2 linked regions of the Arabidopsis thaliana genome follow. The protein of the gene in region 2 interacts with the protein of the main gene of each other region in a pairwise test. Each region holds a gene or a part of one and is shown on either strand. Other genes may lie near its edges.

Region 1 (4,596 bases), on a different chromosome or scaffold from region 2:
ACATTGAACACAAACCCCATTAACCCAAATCATTACCAAACTGTCAAATTCGAGACCAAAGTAGGGTTCTTACAAGACACATTCTCAGATTCGTCAACAATTCGTTCAATAGTATCGAAGACAAGCTTGCTATCAACTAAGTACTTAAGAAACCCTTCTTTGCTAGGCTTCCAAGTCTCTTCCTTTACTTCATCATCATCATCATCGTCTTCTTCTTCTTCTTCTTCTTCCTTCTCGGTGTCAGTTTTATCTTCAGAAAGATCTAATTTTTTACCATTAACATTGCGTAATCTCATGGCGACGAATCTCATTTCCTCAGTTATACCAATGTTTTCTCCTGGGTATTGTTTCCTGTACCTTGTTCTCTTCCTCTGTGAGGCCTTTTGTTGTGACGGTGTTGGTGTCGAACGACATAGATTGAGAAGATGCTTTTGTGGCTTTCTCTGAGTTGAGATTTGGAATGGGAAAGAGATAGATGTGTGAAGATGAGAGTGAGTGAGCTTACGAGGTGTAGAGAGTAATGGAGTTGGCCTGAGAAGAGAAGCCATGGATTCCGACGACCAAGATAGACGCTGCCTTCACTTTGATTTCTCGCTTTCAGCCTAATCGACAAACATTGGAAAACCAAACACCCTTAATTTTGTTATTATTTACATGTCATGCCATTAATTATTTCATAACTAGCCTAAATAGGGCAGATGTAAAAAATAAATAGTTTTTTTTATATTTACATTATGCTTAGATTAGTTGATAAGCCATAAAAAAAAGGCTTAGATAATTAGATTAGTTGAGATAACTTTGGTTTCAGTACGTACGTGTCTATGTATTATTCGCCATTATTCTATTAGTATAATGTATGTTGAAAAATGACCAAACATTTTAGAGCATTTCCATCCATTAAATATTTATTGACTTTATTCAAACGTACAAGTGACCACAATGTGGTGCAACCTTTTTATTAATATAAATCCAAACGTGCATTAGTGAAACAAACGAATCATCAACAATATACAAGATACAATAATTGATCTCTTTAGATCCTAATTGGAGCTTTTGCATGAGGTGAACGAATGTCTCGGATCTTCTTTTCTTTTGAAAGTATTCCTGCTAACCTTCACAACCAAAATTTAAATATATTAGCAAAATACTTTTAATCACCTTAAGTATGAAAGAATAAAGCTATAAAATGCAAAAATTGGGCCACTTACTTTATAAGAGCATGTTCATTAGTCGTTTCATAAGCATTTTCGTTACAACCCGAGTCTAGGTTGACTCTTGCAACAGGTTTTTTAAGTAGTTCATCTCCTGTCTTGGCAAGAATGTCCAGATTCTCGACGGTAGCGATATCAACAGAAGCAGCATCCCCAGTTAATGTGTCATCCTATATAATTAATACCCAAATCTTAGGAATTGTGGAGACAAAGAAAAAGAAATGGTTAGTGCGCTAGCTGATTTTGATACCTGGATGCGAATATAGTTGGCTTCGGAATGAAGAGCTCGAAAAACGGCAGAGAGATGGAAATCAACCATGTCGGAGCTAGCTTGCGAGAAAGCATCAATGATAGGTGTAGAGTTGTCGTGTGTTAACCAATTCAATAGTCCCCAACCAGCTACTTCTTTTGCATTGAATTTCTCTTCGGCTTTATGATTTCCGGTTCCAAGCGAAAGCACAAGAAACCTTCCGTAATCATTTGGTCTTATTGGGAAAAAGTCACTGCTTCCTCCTGAGATCTCATTTGTTACTTCCCCAATGGCCAACAAAGCCTATACTTGACATATAACAACTATATCATGATCTATTCAAGATTTTTACAGAAAACTCGTATCGATTATTATAAGAAATTCCATAGTAAAAAATGAAATATAGTCTAACATTGTGTGTTCATGTTATAATTATTCAATTTAAGTCCATAATAATTGTTGATATATTATATTCTTCGTATAAAAACCCTATTGCTACATAAATGATAAATCCAATATTTAGAAATTTACCGGGTTGTTAGCTGCAACTCCACCATCAATAAGATTGTATTCTTTAGCGTTTCCGTTTAAATCTTCAACTTTGAAGAAATGGGCAGGCAAGTATGTAGGGGCAGCTGAAGTTGAGATGGCAATGTCTGCGAGGGTTGCGTCCTTGAGAGGATGGTTTTTTACCTATAAAATAGTCATATATATATTAAACCAAAGTTTTGTTAATTATTATATTGTAATTTCACAAATAGAACAAGCTATAAACAAACCTCATAACTACTAAAGATAGTAGGTTGAAGATGCTTGATATCGAACGTTGGAATGACAACGTTGGTAAGTGTTTGACTCAACTTTGTATCACCCAACTTAGCGTGGATAAGCTGATGAAGGTATTTACCGTCATATTTAGGACCAGTCAAGGACTTCACGAGTTTTTTGGCGGCTGAGAATGGGAAATGATCTTGAGGGAAGATCTTCGGACATTGCTCAAGATAGAAATCTTTAATTTCAGACGCTGCAAATAAGGGTCGGCCTTCCTTATTAGGCGCGGTGAGCATGGCTGTCACTAGACCACCGGTGCTTGTTCCCGCTATTACATCAAAGTAGTCTGCAAGCCTTGCTTCTTCTCCATCCAATTTCTATGCATCCATGTATATATATGAGTTAAGAAAATATAATTTTACAAACATAATATTTGTATAGTTAGGTAGCACATATATACCTGGAGTTCGGACTCGAGAAAACCAAGGATAACGGCAGGGATTAGCCCTCTAATGCCACCACCGTCGATGCTGAGGATTGTAACTAAGTTTCCATAGGTCGGGGGCTGGAGAGGAGATTTGGGGCTGTCCATTTGCATCTTACAGAACAAGCAAAGCAATGTATTGATATTTCTTTTTTTTAATGGATATCAATGTATTGATACTTGAGGAGATAGAACTTTGATTGTGAGATATTATGAGAGGTTAATGAACTCTATGTATTTATAGGACACTAGTGGCTGCTGTTTCAAAGTTAGACCATGTCTTCATTCTTAGGATATTAGCTTGTCAAATTAACTTGCATACTTCGTCCTTTGGTTTGAACTCTAATTCTATTGGTTCTTGTTTCTTCCTTTGTAGACAACATGGACTTTTCGTGAGCCTCTTTACTTCTTCCACATTAAGACCATGTCAACCCTTTTATTACAAAACTACAATGTTTTTTTTTGTTCAAATGAAATTAACTTCCCCATTTTCGGGTTTCTTGGTATGTCACTTTTTTCTAATGAATTCTAAGCTTTATATAATTTTCGTTTAGATTCTGCTCACGAGTTCACACACAAAGGATCGTTCTTCTAGTCACCTAGAGACGATGTTAATGAGAGAAAACAACCTACGATGTAATATTACTGCTACTTATACTTCCAACAATGAATCTTTTGTATAAACAACGTAAGCAACTAAGCATGGTCAATTGGTCAAAGAAGTTACTTTACGTTCAATATATTATGGGGTAAAGACAGCTGTGTCATGGGAGTTTTGAAAAAATCAGTGCCGTGACAAATAGAAAGTTACAAAAAATATCTTTTATGGCAATATTAGAAAATCTTTAGTATTTTAGCCGCCGCTCAATACTTATCCCCCAACACTGCAACTTTCTTTCATTGACCAAATGAAGTCAATTTGTACATACAACAATTTGTTTTTCATTTAACACCCTTAGTTTACTATACTCAATTCAAATAATATAAATATGCATATTTTCCCAGAAAAAATACTTTTATTCTTTCTAAATCCACCAAAATTCAAAAATAAATATTAAATTATTTATTAATAACCTTAATTTCAAGTTTTTTTGTTTATGTAATATTTGATCATTTAAGGCAAATAGAGACATACTCAAAGTCCAAGTTTGATATAATTTGTAAAATTATAATTGATTTCAAAATTTATAACACATCTGCTAGACCGTGAGTAATATTAAATTCGAATTGTCACTGATGGTTAGTCACATATGTAAAAAAGTTTGAAAGAGATTTAAGCTATATTTATTGGTTTTAATAAAAAAAAAATTTATGGTTGAACCTCACAGTTACAAAAATAAAAATATATTAAAAGAAAAGTTTTTTTTATTACAAAACAATTTTTTTTTATTGAGCAATAACTTCTTGATGTGAATGTTTTATTGAGCAATATCGTTTTTTTTTGTGGTGCTCTACCGTAAAATTTCGTAATGTATTTTTGGAACAATTGACAAAGAAAAGAATAGAATCGCATATATTATTATTATTTTCCGCGAAAACACTTAGAAATTTTGTGAGCAATATACTTTTATCCTTTCAAATCACATGATTCGACATTGATATGCTGGAATATCTTTTTTTCTCAAGACATGCAAAGTTGAAGTTTCTTCATCATTGAGTTGATAGAATTCTTTGATTAGATAGATAAAGAGATGGAAAATGAAGTTGACACTTTTATTCTCACCCACCAATGTGAAGTATTTACAATTGGTTGTTTTTTGGATCCCAAATTGCAGTTGAAATGATGACAAGAAAAAAAACTGCGGTTGATAATCACCAATCAAACCTATACTATTATCCCTGTATCCCAATATAAAATCAAGAGTTGTACTTGTAATTAT
Region 2 (4,071 bases):
AAGTCGAGCCAATGGGAACAGTTCAAAACGTTTTCCTATCAATTTTCTTTTGGAGTCAGAGTTTTGGCTCGCATTGTTTCAATTCTTGAAATCGGTGGCTTAGTGAAACCGTCTGGTTTTAAACACTACAACCAAGAGCTTAAGAAGCTAGAGGAGCATTTGAGATCTGTCAAGGATGTATCGGAGGCGAATGGGTTTGCGAGAGAAGCTATAGAGTCTAGCATTTTTCACTTGTGGAAGTCTCTGTTTGAAGCAACACCAGAAATGATACACCCTAGTAAGACTAAAGTTCTTGAGCTGTTTTAGGCCTCTTTTGAACGAAGCAAGTCTCGAAACTTGCTCTCGACATCTTACTTCTTTAGGCATATGAATCCGCTTTAACATTTGCTCGACGAGAAATCAAACATTTTGTGCCAGAGTTGTTTTTTCTTTCTAAATAAATACTTCAAAGACAGTAGTTATGAGTAGAAGAAGATTGTTGTATCAAGTGACTTAAAAGACTTCTTTAAGTTCTGTCAAACTCTAGATCGGATAAGATCACGTCTGATAATGTTTCTTGGTAAGTTATTCCAATGATTTGCATTGCATCGAGATAAAGCTTGCATATATGGAATGCCTTTGTTACAATTTATTTTAATTCAAAATCTTTATTGATTAGTCCATTTTATAACATTAACAAATAACTAGCCATAATCTTGCTGACAAAGTACTTTGTTGGTTTGTCAACCCAAATTAACAGAGTAATTTCTTAGCTCGGCGAGTGCGGCTACAATTGGTAGAGAAGGTTGAATGAAATTGCCGAGGCAGAAAGCATGATTTAGCCGTCGCTACTCGCTGAGGCAGAACCGAGCTTACAAACAGTTTTTGGAAACTGGACGCTAATCTTGCTTTTGCTTGTGAATAACGTCTACTGAACAAGCCTCGTCTATGTATCAAATTTCACTTCAATCGTTGGAGATTTGTCAAGAAGAGAACTTAGCTCAGTAACATAGCTTCCTAAGTCGGCTGTGACATTAACACCTGAACAAGAACCTGAAACAGAACAAGAGTCGGGCCCTTCTTCTCCACTCTTCTCTTCCCCTTGTTTCGTAGTCAAAGTTTCATAGAACTGCTTCATTGCGACTTCCGTCGAAAGAGCATGCACAGAACTGTGTAATTTCTGAAACTTCTCTCTAGTTTCTTGTTCATCGATAAGCTTTTCTCTAAACTCAACCGGGAGGAAAGCCAGCGCACTTCAAAAAGAGTCAAAACAGAAAATGTATAACTTACTACTACTCGATAAGCTTCATCGGATATGTAACACATCGCAACAGACTTGTAATTACCTAGAAACACCTCTAACAATACCAAACTTGTAACCAGCAAGAACTGATTCCTTATAGCCAAAGTTATAACCTTCCTGCGCAATAGCTTCTTTCCCGACAACAATCCCATCACGATATCCAGCCTACGATTTCGATTTACCATTAAAAAAAAAACAGACATGGAGAAAATTGAACAAACATTTTACACTGAGAGAATGATAAAGCAAAAAAGAATACCGAGTGGAATTTCACACGTCTCTGCTCATTCTCATTGTCCAACACGCGAGCTTCACTATAATCTTCATCTGAACTTCCGTAAAAGGGATCATCTAAATTCTCAAGACCATGATCTTTATTACCTAAACCAAAAGATAGTTCTTATCAGAGAGACATGGAAAGCAAAAACTTAGCAATACAATGCTCTAAGCCTAAACAATCTGAGCAAACAAAAGACCTCAACTAAACTATCAGAAACAAATTTGTAAGAGTTCTAATCAGAAAAGCAAAAACTTTGTCAATTGTCACTAAGTTTATGACCTATGAAAGTAAAGAGTCCTCACTAAGTTTCGAAATCTGCAAACTTTCTCCATAAAGCTCTTTGGCGAAATTAACCTTCCCATCTGTATATCATTGACAATCATCAACATAAACAAAGCTTTCAAGTCATTAAATTTGAGTGGGGAATATCATCGAACACTTGGTGGGTGATTTATGAAACTTATGAAATCACAAATAGTATCGTAGTAAAAGAACCTTCAGGCGGCTCCATTAGTTCTACAGAGACGACTTCGAGATAATGGTTTGACCAAATGGTTTTGAGAGAACAGAAAGAACCAGAAGGAAGATGACGATCGTCGATGCCCACAACCACAAAGGTCACATACACAGGTTTCCGATTTTTTTCTTCGAAAAAGACAATTCCTAATTTTTGTTTTGTCGTTTAGTGAGTTATGAGGCCCAAGTTCAGCCCACTTAGCAGATTTTTTTGTTTTTGTTTTTTGGTTGGGTCAACGCACTTAGCAAATCTAAGTCAAAAGATTAGATTTGTTAATAGTCTAATAAACATAAACCAATCATGCTTTGAGTTAATTTTAAAACTTCAAATCCAACAAATTCTTCTTCCAAATAAAAATCAAAATCTATTTATAATTTTGGCAAATATATTGTAATGGTCTAATGGGCATTTTCATAATTATCTACAATCATAATTTTTGGATTTTATTTTTAATTTTTGGATTTTAAATAAATAAATTTAAAAAAGAGCAAAATTAACAATACATTGTTTCCTTTTTGACACTTATATTTTCAGATTTAATTAAACAAGAATATTACATTTATCTCTAATAACAACAAAAGATACAAATTTAAATAACATTTAATTGATGTTACAAAAAAAAGTACTAATTATCTCCTCTCCCACAAGATTATATTATTTAACATTACTAATACAAGACACAAATAATAAGAATGTCTCTAACGGCTAACGTGCACTGGAATGCTCTGCTCGTACCGGAAAATGTTGTCCGGATCAACTCTAGTCTTAACCTGAACCAACCTCTCGAAGTTATTCTTAAAATACTTAACTCCATACACTTTACCTTCCTCGTACGTTGAGTTCAAGTTCTTCCCAATGTCAATATCTCTGTAGTTCAAAAACGCTTCTCTTGGATTCTTAGACACGTAAGGGCTCATTGCCTCGAACACTCTTTCCGTTTGGCTCAAGCAATCGCTAGCCGCTTCTTCACCTGGCACGAACCAGTTAGATGAGTACTGAATCTTAAACATGTTCCCTGCTCGGTGAGGAAACGCCGTCTCTGTCGCCGGAATCTCGCTCATTCTCCCGCCGTATGGGTTCCAAGCCATCGACACGTTCTCGTTCTCTGAAAGAATCTTGAATATCGATTCTAGACCGGGTTTTGAGATCGGTTTCTGCACGTAATCGGATTTTCTTTTAAGGTAGATTTGCTTTTGTGGGATTCGGTTTAGCATGACCGATGTTGGTGCTGTACCCGGTGGGATACTAAGCCAGAACAGAACTGATTCGATCCATTTCATTTCTATGCACTCTGTTTTGTTCAGACCGAGTTCCGGGAATTTGGCGTTCATAATCTCTAGAAGCTTCTCGGAGTTTCCTAAGTACATTCCCATGAAAGAAGCCTTGACCGTCTTGTTACTTGAGCTCAACGTTAATCTTATGAACAAATCGTTATCGATCTTGTCGGCGATCTCTTGCCATTTCGCTGCAAGATCGGTAGGGATTACTCCTCTGTTTCCGATTGTTTCAACGTTAAAGACTGTAACTTTCTCCGGGACAGGAACTAGCTTGATCTTCCAAGCTAAGACAACACAGAAGCTAGCGGCTCCACCGCCTCGTAAGGCCCAGAAAAGATCTTCTCCCATGGAACTCCGGTCCAAGACTCTTGCGTTAGCATCAACAATCTTAGCGTCTATAATGTTATCAATCGATAAACCGTATTTCCTCATCATGTTTCCGTAACCTCCACCGCTAAAATGCCCACCAGCACCGAGACCGGGACAGATTCCAGCGGGGAAACCACGGAGGTTGTTGCTTTTATTGGCAACGTTGTAGTAGATCTCTCCTAGGGTTGCACCGGATTGTACCCACGCGGTATCTAGTTTTGGATCGATCTCAATTGCACGTAGATTAAACATGTCGAGGACGACGAAATCAACGGTTGATAAATAAGACATTCCATCGTAGTCATGTCCTCCACTACGGATACGGAGCTGGAGGCCAAGTTTTTTG

What was found.
Region 1: the proteins of AT1G34570 (region 2) and PLA2A interact in a two-hybrid assay, tested with the Arabidopsis thaliana proteins (one large-scale study listed by BioGRID).

The regions. Positions count from the first base shown.
Region 1 is NC_003071.7:11,292,879-11,297,474, forward strand, and holds PLA2A (phospholipase A 2A), read right to left. Parts: upstream 3,041-4,596; 5' UTR 2,831-3,040; coding exon 2,693-2,830; intron 2,610-2,692; coding exon 2,241-2,609; intron 2,155-2,240; coding exon 1,993-2,154; intron 1,765-1,992; coding exon 1,462-1,764; intron 1,382-1,461; coding exon 1,209-1,381; intron 1,113-1,208; coding exon 1,034-1,112; 3' UTR 824-1,033; downstream 1-823. Other genes in the region: HO2 (heme oxygenase 2), read right to left, coding at 74-548. UniProt on the Arabidopsis thaliana protein: Possesses non-specific lipolytic acyl hydrolase (LAH) activity.
Region 2 is NC_003070.9:12,654,372-12,658,442, forward strand, and holds AT1G34570 (Essential protein Yae1, N-terminal), read right to left. Parts: upstream 2,235-4,071; 5' UTR 2,074-2,234; coding exon 2,058-2,073; intron 1,925-2,057; coding exon 1,865-1,924; intron 1,664-1,864; coding exon 1,542-1,663; intron 1,448-1,541; coding exon 1,326-1,447; intron 1,233-1,325; coding exon 926-1,232; 3' UTR 556-925; downstream 1-555. Other genes in the region: AT1G34560 (hypothetical protein (DUF1184)), read left to right, coding at 1-306; AT1G34575 (FAD-binding Berberine family protein), read right to left, coding at 2,778-4,071.